Danio rerio: one gene and its partner. Each later gene encodes a partner of the first gene's protein in a complex. Links are inferred from orthologs where the notes say so. Each region holds a gene or a part of one and is shown in the gene's direction. Other genes may lie near its edges. The genes, in order: mettl14 and wtap.

What was found.
Region 2: mettl14 (region 1) and wtap share a complex: the UniProt entries of both Homo sapiens proteins name them as parts of the WMM complex. The link is inferred for Danio rerio from reciprocal best matches to the Homo sapiens genes METTL14 and WTAP.

Annotation. Positions count from the first base shown.
Region 1 is NC_133176.1:21,568,201-21,577,262, reverse strand, and holds mettl14 (N(6)-adenosine-methyltransferase non-catalytic subunit METTL14), read left to right. Parts: upstream 1-4,042; 5' UTR 4,043-4,134; coding exon 4,135-4,200; intron 4,201-4,341; coding exon 4,342-4,430; intron 4,431-4,632; coding exon 4,633-4,720; intron 4,721-4,825; coding exon 4,826-4,903; intron 4,904-5,486; coding exon 5,487-5,574; intron 5,575-5,652; coding exon 5,653-5,743; intron 5,744-6,032; coding exon 6,033-6,174; intron 6,175-6,681; coding exon 6,682-6,774; intron 6,775-6,963; coding exon 6,964-7,080; intron 7,081-7,212; coding exon 7,213-7,423; intron 7,424-8,145; coding exon 8,146-8,450; 3' UTR 8,451-8,686; downstream 8,687-9,062. Other genes in the region: prss12 (neurotrypsin), read right to left, coding at 2,342-2,657. UniProt on the Homo sapiens protein: The METTL3-METTL14 heterodimer forms a N6-methyltransferase complex that methylates adenosine residues at the N(6) position of some mRNAs and regulates the circadian clock, differentiation of embryonic stem cells and cortical neurogenesis.
Region 2 is NC_133195.1:33,719,603-33,728,629, reverse strand, and holds the start of wtap (pre-mRNA-splicing regulator WTAP), read left to right. Parts: upstream 1-3,838; 5' UTR 3,839-3,995; exon of another isoform or gene 3,996-4,183; intron 4,184-4,765; 5' UTR 4,766-4,773; coding exon 4,774-4,803; intron 4,804-4,898; coding exon 4,899-4,954; intron 4,955-5,045; coding exon 5,046-5,104; intron 5,105-5,257; coding exon 5,258-5,385; intron 5,386-6,649; coding exon 6,650-6,828; exon of another isoform or gene 6,829-7,553; intron 7,554-9,027. Other genes in the region: sod2 (superoxide dismutase [Mn], mitochondrial), read right to left, coding at 1-113, 1,282-1,484, 2,772-2,800. UniProt on the Homo sapiens protein: Associated component of the WMM complex, a complex that mediates N6-methyladenosine (m6A) methylation of RNAs, a modification that plays a role in the efficiency of mRNA splicing and RNA processing.

The DNA of each region.
Region 1 (9,062 bases):
ATAAGAAAAGCTATGTCCTTTGCTTTTGAAATACATATCTGAAATCTAACAGGACATAATATTAGATTTACACCACAATAATTAGAAAAGAATTGCCTTTAGATATTCCTTTATAAGATTTGATGGTGAATAATCTTGCACAGACATCAGTTACGGAGTTAGAGTAAATAAGTGCAATCAGTGCAATAATACACTGTAAAAATATTGAGTTCAACACAATTTCTTCGATTATGTTAACTTCATTATTTTTACAAGCTTAAGTGTAATGAATATTAAACAAGCTGTCCCAAAACAAATGTTGTTTCAACTCATTTTAAATAAGTAGTTTGAACAAGCAGCAAGTCATTTTTTATGTGTATAGGTATAATCTATATCATAATATAATATAAACCCTTAAAATTCATTTTTTTTAAAATACATCATAATGAAAATTTTAGGCAACATGGTAACAACATAGAACTGTTGCCTTACAGCAAGAAAGTTGCTGGTTTGAGCCCCGGCTGGGTCACTTGGCGTTTCTGTGTGGAGTTTGCATGTTCTATCTGTGTTTGCCTGGGTTTCCTCCGGGTGCTCCAGTTTCCTCCATGAACCAAAGACATGTGGTACAGGTGAATTGGGTAAGCTAAATTGTCCGTAGTGACTTCAATATGTGTGTGAATGAGAGTGTATTAGTGTTCCCCAGTAATGCAGCTGAAAGGGCATCTGCTGCATAAAACATTTGGTCGATAAGTTGGTGGTTCATTCCTCAGTGGCAACCCTTTAAAAAAATTAATGAATAAATAATTTTATTTATTTATTAATATATTTTTTTAATTAGCAACACTAGTATTGAAATACATCCAGTGTGTGTGTGACAGTATTTCATGTGTCCAGTGTTTGCATCCAGTATATGTGCAGGCCAGCTGCTGCATTCAGAGCAGTTATAAATCACACACAGCACACAAGCACACATGATGGCAGCACATGTTCTTCAAACATTTCAGCGCTTCAAAACATTCACAGAATGTTTGGAAAATGTGAAGCGGCAGATGTGCTGGAAATATAAACTGATTGAATACCAAAATATTTAAATAAGCTCATCCGGTCATTTAAGACTGATAAGATGTTCACGTGCAATAATACTGAAAGAACTGTAGACAAATGTCACAAATAATAAATATGGCAATATTATTACACAACCTTATATTTTTATACCTCTACTCCAAGTACTCTTTCCAGCGCTATTATAAGACAGGATTACATCATTAAACTATTTATGATCGTTTGCATGTGATTATTCTTATGAAATTATCTGATAAAAAATGACAAATCTCCTTTAGAAAAAATGGTTGTGTAGCTTTGTAGATTATTAGCAGTTGTATTGCCACAGTTTTACTAATACTATGGTTAGGGTAGTGGTTAATTTTATGGTTACCGGTTTGAATATAATAATGGTGTGCTTGTACTTGTGCATGTGTGTGTTTGTGTAGTAGTAGTAGTAAACCATGTTTAACAGTTCTGTCTTTGAAGATGCACATTCCTAAATTTTGCCATGGTAAACGCTAGTTTAAATGGGCTAGTTTTCACATGTGAAGTTGCTTATCCCACTCACAGCCTCTACTAAGGTTAATGGTTTCAAAAAGGGTCAAAGTGAGTTCCATTATCTTTTTCCAAGAGCAAAAAGTGGAAATATTTAGCTTTTATGCAGCTAAAACTAGCCCACAAATAAACTTACCTTATTCACTGGATTAAAATGATGATATTGCCTGTCGTGCAGTACATTACACAGGTCTCAAAACTTTTTCTTCTCTCACAAGTCATGCTGTAAAATAGTCACTGTCAAATTAAACGGTACTAGATTCCTCACTTTCTAAGCCCGGCGGAAATAAATAAGCACGTGCGCATCTGTCAGAGAGAGTTCACTGCTCAAAACGCGCTCGTACACTCCTAAAAGAGCTACGATGACTGCAACAAATATATGAAATTACCAACATTCTGTGGGAGACTACTGTTTCACAGTAAAAACCCAAATGACAACAAGACGTCTTGCGCTGGATGAGAGTGGCTGCTTTGTTCTCCGTTTAGTGCTACCTGAGGCGCATACCTTTCCCACGCGTGGATGCATTGAAGTTTGGACATGTCTTAGCTTGCATGTGTTGTGTGCACTGCAGTATTTTTTTCTTTTTTGACATGACAATTTTTAAAGTCTCAAGTAATAGTAAGCATTAAAGTAATCTATGGAAATAGGTAATGCGCGAGAAGGTCTTGTAAAAACAATTAAACACACTTGAAGTGCGGTAAATTTCTTTCGCATAAACTAATACTGTTGAAAATTAGATACTTTCTTTGTATACATACATACCCTGCTTGCAGTCGCAGTATCCCCAGTCAATGCGTCCTCTGTTGTTCGTGAAGAAGCACCAGGGCCGAATTCTCCCGTCCGGATTTCGGCAGAAAGTGTGATCTCCGAGCCCTTTACCTTGATACCGCTCTCTAACACCGGGCACATCGCTCCAGTTCATGCACTTCACGCCTGATTCGGTTGCGTCAATGGACCCCTCGTAAAAGCCCGCTTTCCCTTTGCTCTGAACACAGTCAGTGAACGGAGAGCCGCCAGTGCGCGCGATCATAAGCAGAAGCGCGCAGACCGTAAAGACGAACCGACACCTCACATCCATCACGATCAACCTGTCCGTGACTGTCACCCTAACACCCGACAATTACTCTCCAGTCTGCGTGGATAAGACATGGTACCCGAGTTTTCTCATCTTGTCGTTTGGCTGTTATCAGAGCAGCAGACGCGGATCAATAAAAGAGAAACCGGGGAAGCCCGGAGCTTATGACTCATGCATATTGATGATCGTCGCCCAGTCTGGATTTCAAGTTTAAAAAGAGAACAGTTGATGGTAAAAATCAATAGTGTCCTTCATTTAATAGTGACAAGTTGCAGAACAATAGAAAAAGAATCTACGAGGCAAATAGTAATTGCTAAATAAATCATTCCACGATAGCGCCCGAGCTGCGCGCGCCGATCTTCCCACAGAGTGAACTTAAACGAGAGTCTGCCACGTTATATCAGTAATTTGGCGTCTAGTCTGGTCTGGTCATCACTGTTGGTCTCTCCGAGACAACACGGTGTACAAATTTCGGCTCAAGCTTTCAGAACTAATCACAATGACAAACAGCCAAAAGTTCACTTCTGCCCTCTTGTGTCAGTAAAATGCAACCAGAATCAATGCTTTTCATTTATGAAATTATAAACATTATTAATTATAGAATAATAGCTAATTTAAAAATATATTTTTAAAATCGGTTTCAGTTACTTTCAGTCAGCAAGGATAGATCAAAACAAATACAATATTAAAAGAAAAGAAAAAATACAATTATTCAAAGTCTAAATTTAAGGCTTTAAAATAATTAACATTGCTTTTTGTTTTAGTATTTTTTGTTTTTATATCGTACATGATCTATTTCTATTTTAAAATGAGTAAAATTAGGTTTTTTTCACAGCCCATTTACATTTACGAATAAAACAAATTCCACATATAATGAGCAAACACTATACCAAATTTTGAAGCCGGCTGTATTCTCATAATAAACATCATTTCTTTTAATTCCAATGCAATACTCGTACTCCGCAAAAAAAAAAAAGATCACACCAAAACAATAGTGTATAAATACAATCAAAATAAATGAACAATACTCTCTTCTTAATCGTTACAGAAAACACATTTTAAGTCAACACCTTTACAAAATTGTGCAATTACCTGTTTTACATGATAAAAACGATTAACAATTTTAAATATTAAGTTACCTCTCTAATTTTTCAGTTATACAAAAACGTCTGGAGATCTTAAAAGTCTGGTTCGAGTTTACGTCTTGAAATTGTGATCTCCAAAAACTAATGGCTGAAGGAACACTGACAGTCAAATCATTCAAAGATAATCATTATTACATTTTGTTTACGCTAGTTGTTTTTACTCCAAATAAAAGTAAGAGGCCGTCTACTGACGTCACCGTATGCGTCAAGCATTGTGATGATGTAAAATACATGCGACGGTTTCTCACGTTGAGGGTTTCAATGGATTTTTGCCGCACTATTGTTGTCATCTGATCATTTCACGATTAGCTATTTTCCTGCAAAACATTTTCGACATGAACAGCCGCTTGCAAGAAATACGGGAAAGGCAGAAGCTCAGACGTCAGCTTCTCGCACAACAGGTACGAATACACAACTTTATTTCTTCCTGCAGAAAGCCAGTTTTAGCAAACACTGCCATATTAACGCGGTGTTATATTACTAACGCCAATGAACGTAGAAGCATTGCGAATGTTTTATGACATTAATGATTTGTTTTACAGCTCGGAGCAGAGAGTCCCGACAGCATCGGCGCAGTTCTCAACAGTAAAGATGAACAAAAAGAGATTGAAGAGACTAGAGAGACCTGCAGGTATAAACCATTTGTTAAATTCAAGGACTATGTGCAGCACTAAAAAATAAAGAACACTAAGACCTATATACCCCAAAAGAGCTAAAACTGTACTGATAGGACAACCTTTACATTCAGCACGGGTATGTGATGCTGCTACTTGTAAGTTAGTATTAATCAGAACGATGCTGAGGTCAGTTACCATTTGGTTTGTTTACTGTAGGGCATCATTTGACATATCAGTTCCTGGTGCTAAAAGGAAGTGTCTGAATGAGGGTGAAGATCCAGAGGAAGATGTGGAAGAGCAAAAGGTGAGAGAGCGCTGATCAGGAATCGGCTGTTAATTCAGAAAAGCCCTTACATTTGATCAGGTCAGAGCTATGTGTAACTGATTTTGAATCTGCTGTATGGTGTAGGAAGATGTTGAGCCTCAACATCAGGAAGAGAGTGGACCATATGAAGAGGTGTACAAGGACTCCAGCACATTTCTAAAGGTATCTTTAAACACAATTGTATATGATTTAATTGAGCAATCGGGTATGAGAAGCTATGATATTTTTGTGAGGATACTCAGACATATATTCACAAAACGGTTACCACTATATACTGTCATTAAAGGCAAAAACATGGTAATTTTTGAAAAGTACGATCTTTAAATTCTTTCATTCCATCAGAAAAACTGTCCCTTACAGTAAACGTAAACTGCATTGGGTTTTGCAATTAAGGTATGTTTCATAGTTCTTAGAACTAATGTAGGAAATTCTCGCTTTTGACATGTTTGTAATGCAAGGACTAGGAACAGTTTTAGTTATTGGAGCTTTTTTGGGAAACAAGTGTTACATACAGTATATACATACAGAAAGCTAGAGATAGTCTCATTTACCTGTTGGCTTTTTCTGCTTTCTGCATTCTTTCCTTTGTATTCCTTTGTATTATGTATCAGTATAAGATGTCATAGGGGATTTATTTCTTCTGGTTCCTTTTTCAGTTGCATAGTTTATGTCTATGCAAAGTCACTCTAAATATTACTAAAATAACATAAGTAATGTTTTTATTATATCATTACTTGTTTCACAGGGCACTCAGAGTTTAAATCCTCACAATGATTATTGCCAGCACTTTGTGGACACAGGTCATAGACCTCAGAACTTTATCCGAGATGGAGGTAAAGTGTTTTTCTACTTTTTCTTTTTAGTTTTCCACTTTGAGAGTGTGTTAACCTGTGTGTTCTCATGTGCTGTAGGTTTGGCTGACAGGTTTGAGGAATACCCCAAACAAAGAGAGCTCATTCGACTGAAAGATGAACTCATCTCTGCCACCAACACTCCCCCCATGTAAGAAAACTTGGTCTCAGTCTATGTCATAGGGCCCATACCGGCCAGTGGTGCCCATTTGCAGTTTTTGAAACCTGAAAATTATTCACATTTGTGTATAAAACACTGGGTTTTATTTAGATTCTAGAATTTTATTTGAACGTACTAAAAACAAAAGTGATTTTGAGGTTGCTAAGCAAATAAAATCAGTTATTTTTTATAATAATTAGAAGCATTTAACTATGGGACAATTGGGTCTTTTTCAATGCTTTTATGAATGTAATAACTCTTGCGTTTGTGTGCGTTTCAGGTATCTCCAGGCAGATCCAGACACGTTTGATCTGAGAGAGTTGAAGTGCAAGTTTGATGTGATTCTGATAGAGCCTCCATTAGAGGAATATTACAGAGAGTCAGGCATCATTGCCAATGAGCGCTTTTGGAACTGGGACGATGTGAGTTACTGCAAATTCTCAAAATCAACCTCATGAGAATGTTTTTAAAATTGATTTCAATTATGTATTATAATACACATTAGAGATATACTTGACTACACTCAAAAATGAAAATTCTATCATCCCCACTTGTCCCAAAGCTGTTTGAGTTCATTTCTTCTGTTAAACACAAAAGCAGATATAGTGAGGAATGCTGGGGGAAAACAGCCGTTGACTTTCATAGTTTTTTTGTTTGTTTGTTTTAGTTGTTTTTGTTGTTCCTAATATGGATGTAAGTGGCTGCATTTTCCAACATTCTTCAGATTATCTAGTTTTATGTTCAACAGAAGAAAGACATTGATAACAATTTACAACCATTTGAGTCTGACTAAATGGTGAGAATTTTCATTTTTAGATGAACTATCCATTTAGATAACAGTTATTATATATTTTATGCTCATATAATATAATAATGTAAGATGTCCTAACATATATAATAACTTATTTTTGTATTCATGTGTGCTTTAGATCATGAAGCTGAACATAGAGGAAATCTCATCCATTCGCTCTTTTGTATTCTTGTGGTGTGGCTCAGGAGAAGGCCTTGATCTTGGCCGAATGGTACAAATCTCACAAATATACAAACTTGACATGGCAGATTTCTGTTCCATGTGCATAAACCTAAACTTATCTCAAATATGATGTACACATAATAACCTGCCCACATACAAATATGCTGCTTTTACATCATTGCCAAATATTCTTTATTCAAACATATTTAAACATCTTTCATTCTTCTTTCTCTCTCAGTGTCTGAGAAAATGGGGCTTCAGGCGATGTGAGGACATATGTTGGATCAAGACCAACAAAAACAACCCTGGCAAAACCAAAACACTGGACCCTAAAGCAGTGTTCCAGAGAACTAAGGTAAAAGTTATTGTCTATAATATATAGAGTCATAGGCAAAGCACAACATTGTAATCTCACTTATTCATAATGATGCTTTCCTGTAGTAAACACTTTTTTTTTGACATCTCTTTTTTGTGTGTTTACACTCAGGAGCACTGCCTGATGGGTATCAAAGGCACTGTTAGACGCAGCACAGATGGCGATTTCATTCACGCTAATGTGGATATTGACCTGATCATTACAGAGGAGCCAGAGATGGGCAATATTGAGAAGCCAGTGGAGATTTTCCACATCATTGAGCATTTCTGCCTGGGTCGTCGACGGCTGCACCTGTTTGGCAGAGACAGCACTATCAGGCCAGGTTAAATATTTACAGATATTATAGATGTATATTTCTATAAATTGTGCATAGCATTCCTCAACGATGTTAGTTGTGAAATTAGTGTATTGTTTTAAAAGTAACAACATAATATGGCTTGAAAAGACAGTACTTTTAATGATATTTTAGTAAATTATAAATTATATTTTTAATCACTACAGTTAATAGATTAGAGCCAGAAGTTTTTTTTTTAAACTAAAATTCATTAAACGGTAACATGAAATATTACAATTTAAAATAACTGTTTCCTATGTGAATATGCAGTAGTCAACATTTAAGGAGGATCAAAGATCGTTATTGTATAATAAATATATAATTAAATGTATTTAAAAATGATAAATAATATTAATATTATTGTAAAAATATTGGCAATGTTCAGTACACATTTTGCGTTTAGGACACTTTTGCTGAAAAGTTTTGATCCATTTTAAATATTGACTGATATGCTTTACAGTTTATTGTATTTCTATCATTCAAAGTTGAAATTTCAGCAGGCACTACTCCAGTCTTTATGATCCTTCATAATTCTAATTTGCTTCATTTTGTGACGAGTATGTGATGAACAGAGTTCCAACAATAAAAAGTATTTCATTAAATTTTATTAATGCAAAAATAAATAATTAATATAAATATTTCCACCAAATGTGTTCAGTTCTTGTGTAAATGTTATATGATGTAAAATGTTATGGTTTATTTCATTTAAGGATGGCTGACTGTGGGTCCCACTCTGACCAATAGCAACTTCAACATCGAAGTTTACTCCACCCACTTCAGCGAGCCCAACTCTTACTTGTCTGGTTGTACTGAAGAAATCGAGAGACTCCGCCCCAAATCCCCACCTCCTAAATCTATGGCAGAAAGGGGTGGGGGTGCACCGCGAGGAGGACGGGGTGGTCCTGCTGCGGGCCGAGGTGATCGGGGTCGAGAGAGAAATCGGCCAAACTTCCGTGGGGATCGAGGGGGATTCAGAGGCCGTGGAGGCCCACATCGTGGATTCCCTCCCCGATAGTCTGCAACGTGCCAACATTCAGACTGAAAACAAAAAATGTGAGGATTCTGAGATATTTTTGTATTTGAAATTTGAAAAGGTGTTGATCTCTGTATTGTTTTTGTTAAGTGTATTAAGAGGTTAGGGATGGGGTTCAATTTTAACAACTCAATTCTGAATGACTTCTGTAAAGTCACTTACAAAAGTATTTGTAAAGATTTTATTCAGCCTCAATTAAACCCTGTTTTTTAAACAAAGATTTGTTTTTGACTTTTGCACATGACTTAACTCATCCTCCATTCACTCACCACTTTATTCATTTATGTTGTTGATAGCAGACAGCTGGGATTTCCATGTAGTATGCTGGGATTGCATCATGCATTTTAACCAAAACTGGACAAAAGATGATTAAAAAATGGGTCGCCTTGTTGTGATTATTATGTTGGCTATTATTTCAATGTTTAACCATCTTTTGTATGTACATATATATTATTTTGGTTTTTGATGTAAAGTACAGATAATAGGATCACAATTTGGCATAAAGTACCATGAAAGCATGAATCCATCTGCTTCTTATGTAATCGTGTGGGAGATATTTTATTCACTGCAAAAAAATACTTTGGAGTTTTTGTC
Region 2 (9,027 bases), on another chromosome or scaffold:
TGGTTCTCCACCGCCATTGGGTGACAGATTTGTCCAGAATATGGTATGATTAATATGACCACCTCCATTAAATTTCAATGCAGGCTGAAGGGAGACTTGGGTTGTCACATCACCTGTAACACAGCAAAAGCAAACCTGAAGACTTTTTATAAGCAATGAAGACCATTTAAGTGATGAATCATAACTTTTGAATGTAGCAAATGTAATTTTAGTTTGGATGTCCAAATCCCATCACATGATCAAAAATCAGGCCTGATCACATGGTTTTAGACTCGATCAGAATCGGATGTTACGTCCCGATCAGAATATGAATATGAAAATATATATATATATATATATATATATATATAGGGTTGGACAAAGTCGACCAATTTGGCATTGAACAATGTCTAATGTGAAACATCGCGATGGACGATGGCATTAGGGAATTCATTATTTATGAATAATTAATTATTCTGTAACAAATTAATTATTTGTAGCCTACCGTTTCAACTGCCAAACCCACATGGTCTTTGTTTTAACCATAAACAAATCATAAATAAATAAAGATAAGTTAAACACAAATTACCACCTGTCAATCACTTTTCAGTGGGACTCTAGGCATGAACAGGCTGAGTGATCTGTGTTGTTATAATGGCGTCGATAAACTTAGTTGGTAAAAAGTTGCACAGCCAACAGGAAGCAGCCAACAGTAGCTGAGGCTTTGGCTAAAATGACTACGTACAAGCGTGAAAGCGAAAGATTGAAGTAGTGTACTGACGCTGTGACACGTTACCTGATAGATTTAAAAGACAGAAGAGTCGTTAGATAGAGATAAAAGTAATTAAATATCATGTTTAACTATAGTGAGACGCGACCCATCGGTACATCCTTAATAAACTGTCTGACGTTCACTGCTCTCTGGGGTTTTATGCTCAAAGCACCCGCTGACTGCTGGAGCTTAGACGCATGCATACGCTGCAGCGTATATGTGTGTGTGTGTGTGTGTGTGTGTGTGTGTGTGTGTGTGTGTGTGTGTGTGTGTGTGTGTGTGTGTGTGTGTGTGTGTGTGTGTATGTGTGTGTGTTCACGTGATGTGGATATCTGTTTGGCACATCGATGAAGTTGCTAGCGTGACACACAATCCAGATGAAATATGAAAGCCCAACATAAGTGTTGATAATATGCAATGTGATTTTTACTAAGAATACCACTGTAGACAACGATAGAAGGGTGTGTATAAAATGAAATAACAATTTGTGTCCACCAAACATAAGGAATAGCAATCTGGTTTGTTCTCACCCTTGGCCAGAGCCTCTTGATATTTCTCCTCTGTGACATTGAGGTTGTTGACATATGTTGCATGGTGCTTGCTGTGATGAAGCTGCATAATCTCAGCACAGATGTGAGGCTCAAGTGCACCATAGTCATATGTGAGGTCAGGGAGAGCGTGCTTCTGTCTGGAGGTCACAGCACCTAAGAGGGGGTTGAAGGTTGCAGCGCACCTATTGTTGACAGCAACAAAGAAATATATTTATGTTTTGAAAACAATATTGCTACAAACAGACAAAAAATTGTCAGGTTATGTTGGATTACTGTGATGAGTACACTGGATCACTGCTGCATGGAAAGTCACATGATCAGAAGTTTCAAACTAGGTTTAAAAAAGGGGGATATCATTTTTGATTAACATTTAGCAAATATTGTAAAAAGTCTTAGTCTTTCCCCTTAGACCAAATAAAGTAGATTTATATATAAATATGAGTGCATTTATATTTTAAAATTAGTAATCTATCAAGATCTAATAAGTGTCCTTGGCATCAAGTTATTTTGAAAACCTCTGGTAAGTAGCCGCTTAGGGCCCAAGGAAATCTGAATAAGAATAAATAATACTCTACATTATATATAATATTGTTTTCTATCATATTTTGTACGGTGAAGGTCTAAAAAGTTTCATTTTAACGTTATTATTACATCTGGGCAAATGTGTACCCTACTTTCAATCATGGACCAGTCCGGCAGTCGAACTAAATTGTTAATTCCGTATGTTTAGATGTGAATTTATCTTAAGAAAACAAATAGTTTCAAAAGTTTTACAAGGTACTTTACATATTATTATTTTGCATTAAGATAAAATGTAGAAAATTAGATTGAATAATATCAAAAAACTGCAAAAAAATAAATAAATAAATAAATAAATAAATAAATAAATAAATAAAGTACAAAAGGTGCATTTTAGATTTTATGAGCCCCCTGGCTGGAATTGTTTAGGGCCCCAAAAATCACTAAATCTGCCCCTGAGTACAGTATACATTAACAAGTGATAAAACTGACTGTTTGTCAAACATAAGTGCTTCAATAGCAACTGTTTGACACAAATTGCAATGATTTCTGATGAAAGTATTTTTTAGGAATGTTGACGAAGATTTGGTCGAAAGGTTTGTATGGTTCGTTTAAAATAAAAGCCAACAGCACACATTTAATTATTAAATATATATTAATTTGAACATTTTAACACGTTAAGCTGTTGTTTGACAGGCTCGACGGAGGCTAATGCAATTACAAGTACACAACTCATATACAACAGCAAATATAGCCTAAGCATCTAAAGTTATTCCTTGTTAAAACTACTCTCGTAATATTACTTACGTAAACTATTGCTGTCCGCTTAAACGCTCAACCAAACAGGTAAATGTGCGCAGGTTATTAATACCGCCATTGATTATATAAACAACATTTGATATTCAGACAGCGGCATATAGTATTAGAACCGATTCAGGCTTTATCATTACCTCCGAACATATCCGACTCTGCACAGCATGCTCTAGTCCGTCACACAGTGATACAAGCGACCAACCAACAGACCTAAATTCGCCACATTACAACCTGCCCTTGAAATTTCAACTTCAACTTGGACTAGACCATACCATTTTGTCAAAATAGGGGTCTGAGAAAATTTTTTTTGTATTTTTATTGATTGCAGACTAAACTATAAAGAATATTTCCGTGTAAAAATAAATTATGAATATTTGAGAGCATAGTATATATTATATATATCTCAAGGGATCGATAGTACTACAATGTAAAGAGGGTGCAAAAACCATGCCCCCTGTCCCAGTTGGTGTAATTCAGTCAGTCATTCTAGGCCTAGGTCCAGAGTGAGACAGTAAATAAATGGTTTCGTTTTAGAACTTTTGTTGCCTGATTTATTAGGATTGTACATTTTGTTTTGCTTCACATTAAAGCAAAATGAATAGCTCAATTTCTTTCCACTTAGTAATTTTGCAAAGAGATTACAAGCAATGGGTTAAGAATTACACAGATCGTAATTCCTATGGCGAATATCTAATGTAATTAACTTGATCATGTATGTATATAGAGAGAGTAAAACGTGTTATCGTTTAGTTAGCATTAAAGCTTACATACCAGGGTTGCCAGATCAATCAAAAGAAACGTGTCAGAAAACAAACCGGATATGAGAAAGGACTTTTGGAAAACACTAAACAGGACACACAAAATATATATTTTAGTCCTTCTTTTCTTGTGCCTTTATTATTGATGTCGTGGTGGTCGGTATGTTTTGTGTGGTAATTTGTCTTTTACAACTAGCTACCTACACCTAACTAACTAACAAAGCAAAAATGAAGTCAATTAATAAATGAATGATTATATACATTAACGTTTGAATGTATGCATGTAAGTTATAAATAAGCTATGTTATCATAATTGTAATAGGTTGTTTGTTGTACTGTAAAAGATGCACTGTTGTTCAATATCAACCTGGCAACACAGTGACAGGAACGTGCTCCTCCTCCTCAGCGCTCGCGCGAACGAACACACTGATGCTGTGCGGCTGAACATCGCGCACACGCTGGTCATGGCGGACGGGCTACCTTTCGTCTAAATAAAAAACGCAACATTTTCCCTATCCCGAGAACTATATTAATAAAAATAACTCTTTCGTATCTCACATTGGAAGACATACGTGTCATTCTGGTCGAGGCGAACCGGCTCTGGTAAGTGGTAGGGATTTAATACGGCTATTTCAGATAAAGTGCTGCTTCTCGGAGAGGGAGAGTCTCTTCCTTCTCCGCCATTTTGTGACAGCGAAAATGCTCCAAGAAGGCGCCGGTACATTTTTATTCCTGTGCGTCTGCAGTCATTTATTGTCTATGTTTTAAGACGAATCTGCATTATCGGCTACGTAAGTTCTTCATGTCTTCCCCGGGAGTAACGAGCACCGTTCCTGAGACTATGAGAATGGCGCGCGGTTGTTTGCGGCGCAGAGCGTTTACCAAGTCAAATCGTTAATTGACGAACTCAATTCGCCTGAATTACGAAACTAACCTTCTTGTTTGGCTATATGAAATAATATTTAAGGGCTACAGTTTGCATTTTTCGATTATAATACGTTAAATGTGCAATTCAAGATGCATATAACGTTTTAGCAGTAAGTTAAGGTTAGGTCAAAATGTTAAGTGATATTTTTTCACATTTTCGCAGTTTAGTTTGTTTCCACATGTTTGCTGCATTTAATTATCAGAAAGTGAATAATTGGCCTTAACTAAGCAAATTCCTCCACAATATCTGTTGTAATTGAGAAACAACAACCTCTCCCTCGCCTGGTGGCCTATATTCGTTATAGCACACGTGTAGGCGTGTGAAATCCATGCAACTGTCTCTAAATCTTTTCTGCATATTGTTGCTTGAAATTGCGTGTGTAGGTTTGATTCATTGATTTATTTGAACTTACTAAGTGTTTGGTTTGTATGCTTCTGTCTTGCAGAGATCAGAATGACCAATGAAGAACCTCTCCCGAAGAAGGTGAGCTCTTTGTCCCAGTCTAATCTGATTATATGATTCTTTCTCCTGAACAAGGTCTCTTTATGAGTCTTTATTTTCTTTTTATGTACTTGCAGGTTCGCCTTAGTGAATCTGACATGAAGACGCTGACTCGAGAGGAGCTCTGTACCAGGTATGTAACCATTCTCTCTCCCGCAAAAACAAAGTATGCAAGTTGAAAGATTCTTGATTGTAATGCTGGTATGTTTTCTTTCCGGGTGTAGGTGGAAACAGCATGAAACTTACGTCCAGATGCTTGAGGCGAAATATGCTGATTTAAACTGTAAGTATGCACATCTTAAATGTTCTGAATAATTCATAGTCTTGAGTGCTTTACTCAAGCACAGAGTGTTCAGTCTTTGTGTTAAAGTAATGTTATTGCATAAAATGAATTGTTGGTAACTAATGCATTTGTTTCATGTTGAAATGTCTGCAGCCAATGACGTGACAGGCCTGAAAGAGTCTGAGGAGAAGTTGAAGCAGCAACAGCAGGAATCTGCACGCAGAGAGAACATTCTGGTGATGAGGCTTGCTACAAAAGAGCAGGAAATGCAAGAGTGTACAGTAAGTTTTTTTTTCTTTTTTTTCTTAATCACTACTACATCTGTTTACTTCTGCTTTATGATCAAGTCTATTCTTGGAAATATGTCAGTTTGTTTGAGTAGTACTGAGTGTCTGAGTTTTGTAGGTGCTGCCTAAGTTGCACACTTCCCTACTATAAGTAGGTGCAAATAGTAAGTTATTCAAAATGAGTATCCACTCAAGAAGAGTGCATGTGATTTGAGATGCTGCTTCTGCTCATGGGTCCCCACCATGATGATTTCTTTTTGTTTACATATAGCAGATGCATTTCTTTTTCTAATGATCTGTGAGACATCAAAAAACATTGCAAATGTAATAGCTGCTATGATCTAGTCAAATGTGTTTTCAAATGTCGGCCATGCAAATTCTAGCTGTAATTTATCATGCTGTACTGAAGCGGATATGAGCATAAATTTTCCAACATTTCAACATGCTGGCATAAAGCAAAACAAATGCAAGTGGTGGCGGATGCAGGCTTGTGCATGTCTACAGTGTTCCACCTTTTACTGCAACTTTCACATTCAGGCACAAACTTTATTTGTAGCAGGTACAAATGACATTACGAATAGGGTTTGGAGTTTCAACTAGACTAGTTTTCATTGCGGTGATTGTTTAATATTGGGACATCAAAGCACTTCAGTTATACAAGCTACTCATTAACTAGACAATGAGCTTGGTATTAAACAGTTGTTTCAAAAATTAAAACTTTAACTGTATACTAGTTTCAAAGCTGAAGTTTTTTATTTATATAAACAGGGTTCATACCATCATAGAAAACCTAGAAAAGTCATGGAATTTTGACATGGTGTTTTCCAGGCCTGCTAAAGTTTTGGAAAAACAAAAGCCACAAAGTTTTGGAAAAGTCATGGAAATTGGATATCTGTATACTTGAATAAAGGTTTTTTACTTTTCTTCCTTGGCCAATCATATACTCTCAAATTATTAGTGCGGTGTAAGCATTATCTAAATCAAATTTACATAGATATAAATTGAAACTAAATGGATTGTTGCGTATTTTATGATATGCTGTAATAAATTTGAACTTGCATTGTTTTTCTTTTACCTCATATATGTAGATAATGCATGAAACATTAGGCCATAAATATTTACTTGTAAGTCTTAGAAAAATCATGGAATTTTATTAGCAAAAATATGTATGAGCCTTTTATATACGTACTTGCATACTCCATTGACTTTTAATTTTTAGTTTGAAATGCTGAGATTCTAATGGTCTCTTACCTTGCAGACCCAAATCCAGTACCTGAAGCAAGTCCAGCAACCGAGTGCAGCTCAGCTGAGATCGTCCATGGTGGACCCAGCCATCAACTTATTTTTCCTCAAAATGAAGGCTGAACTGGAACAGACTAAAGACAAACTGGAGCAAGCCCAAAATGAACTGAGTGCCTGGAAATTTACACCTGATAGGTAAACTAAAATAACTCCCCCCTCCAAACAAAAAGTCAAGACTTTCCTGATTCACCCCCACCTTCTCCTCTGCAGGAGTGCAGATAATGGTGGGGGAAGACTGAAATGTGTTGCTCACAACGAGACTCAGACTTTAAAGCAAAAAAGCTCAGAACAAAAGACATTTTTCTTTTGTATTGCCCTGCTATTACACATACCGTAATGTAAAATCAGAACAGAACACGGCAGTTTGGTCAGGTGACACTTTTGTTTCAGCTCTTTCTCTCCCCCCCACACCCCTCATGGTACAGAAGCCTGAAGGAATCGGGACTGTTCCTGAAGAGGTGGTCACGTCGGAAACTCAGCCCGTGTTAGAAAGCTTCCTGTAACAAATAAGGCGGCCTATGAAAGACTTGAGCAAAGCGTTGGCTCTGGAGCTGGTTGAACTGTAGTTTGCAGGTCACTGATTGAACATTTAAAACATGACATGGCCCAACTAAATGTGTTGCAGAGGAAAATGCCCCCATATAAACTCCATCATAGATGCTTTGAGACTCTGGTTAAGAATCTAGAATGTAAAACAGGGAGGCGGGAATGTAGTGTGATGCAATGAAATGGGGGTGGAGTTAAGCAATCTTAAGACTTTGGGGGAGAAAGCCTTTATGATGTAAGACTTTGGGGGAGGAATCAGACATTCTGATCTGCAAAGACTTTCATATATGTTCATCTCACAGGTGCGACATACGGTACAGTGTCTTAAACCTTTTATCTTTTTTTGTGTTCGTAATATTATACTTTGTTTTTGCTCTGGAAACACTCCTTGCATTCACAGTAGAGTGGTCCAAACGAATTGAATTTATTTAAAATTGGCTGTTGCACTGCTGTGGATGCGAATATAATTGTTCTTTTCGATGTGAATGCAAATGTGCCATGTGTGATAGTAATATGTGTGAATAGTACAGCTATTCAATGTTCAAATGTCTGTGTATGATCATTTGTATTTTAACTTGTGTACCTTTCTAATCCACTTTTTATTTTTCGGTCATCCAGTGAAAGTTTAATTTTCTTTTTTTTTTTCTCTCAGGTCACAAATTTTTTGCAGGTATTTTGCTCATTAGAAATGTTCTAGCAAAATCTTACACTTCAACTTTGTTGGATTTCCTATCTGAGTGAATCAAAAGTAGTTGAAAATATTTAGTCAAAAGTCTTTTGAAATATTGACTGCTCTAAAGTGGCATAAAGAATTAAGCGGTTGTCATTGGAAGTTAGTTGTAGGATTCCCATAAAAGTTGCTGAATTGGTTTAAGGAAATTGTTTGTATTTGATTGTTGTTACATTTGATCTCAAACTGCTCTTAAATGTAAAATGTGAGCATTCGTTCTGAAGAGAGTTTAAGTCTTATTGTTTAAGGACAGTAGTGTTACTGCTGTATCTGGCAGAAAAGCACTCAAGTATATTCTAATACTAAAGAAAACATCAACATATCAGTATAATCTTTGCCAAGTTTTTTACTGGAAATAGGTTAAAGGTGCTGCTAATTTAAATGAAGCGCTCTGGCCATGCAACTTTATTGCATCTTTGTAATATTTTGCAGTGATAAGAAATTGATCTGCCTACTGTCAAGACTCTTTGTCATGTAGTATAGAACCAGTCATTTTTTTAATCAACTGATGCAGATATTGTTGGTAGCTCGTAGCTACTTTTAGATTAACAGGTAGGTACTAATAGTCACTGAAATGGAAATTGCTAATTGGTTTTGTACCATGGTCAATTACCTGGAGTACTATCCTGTTAGATGCGTTCAGATGTATTGCACTTGTTGGTTTACTTGATTTGGTCTGCCAAATGTTCATGCATCTTTTCCCAGTATTGTTTAAACTGTTACTTGATTTTCTTGATTGTTGTTGAGTATGTTTACATGCACACCAGGAAACTGCTTATTGCGAAAGATTTGTGAAAGTATCATTGTGCTGACATGTTTTGTCAAAGCAGCATATACCTGTGGCACGATTAGCATTTATTTGGCTGCCTGATCTTTTTCCATGCACTCTTCAAAAAGCTGCCTATGCATTTACATGACTACATAAGACACAATCTCTGCTAGCATTCTGCCAATGTTAAATCATGTTGACTTTCTTAAGAATACCAAGCTGTTTTCATTAGTGCTTGTAAACATACTCTAATGGTCAACTATATTTACCAGTCCGAAGACCAGTGTGG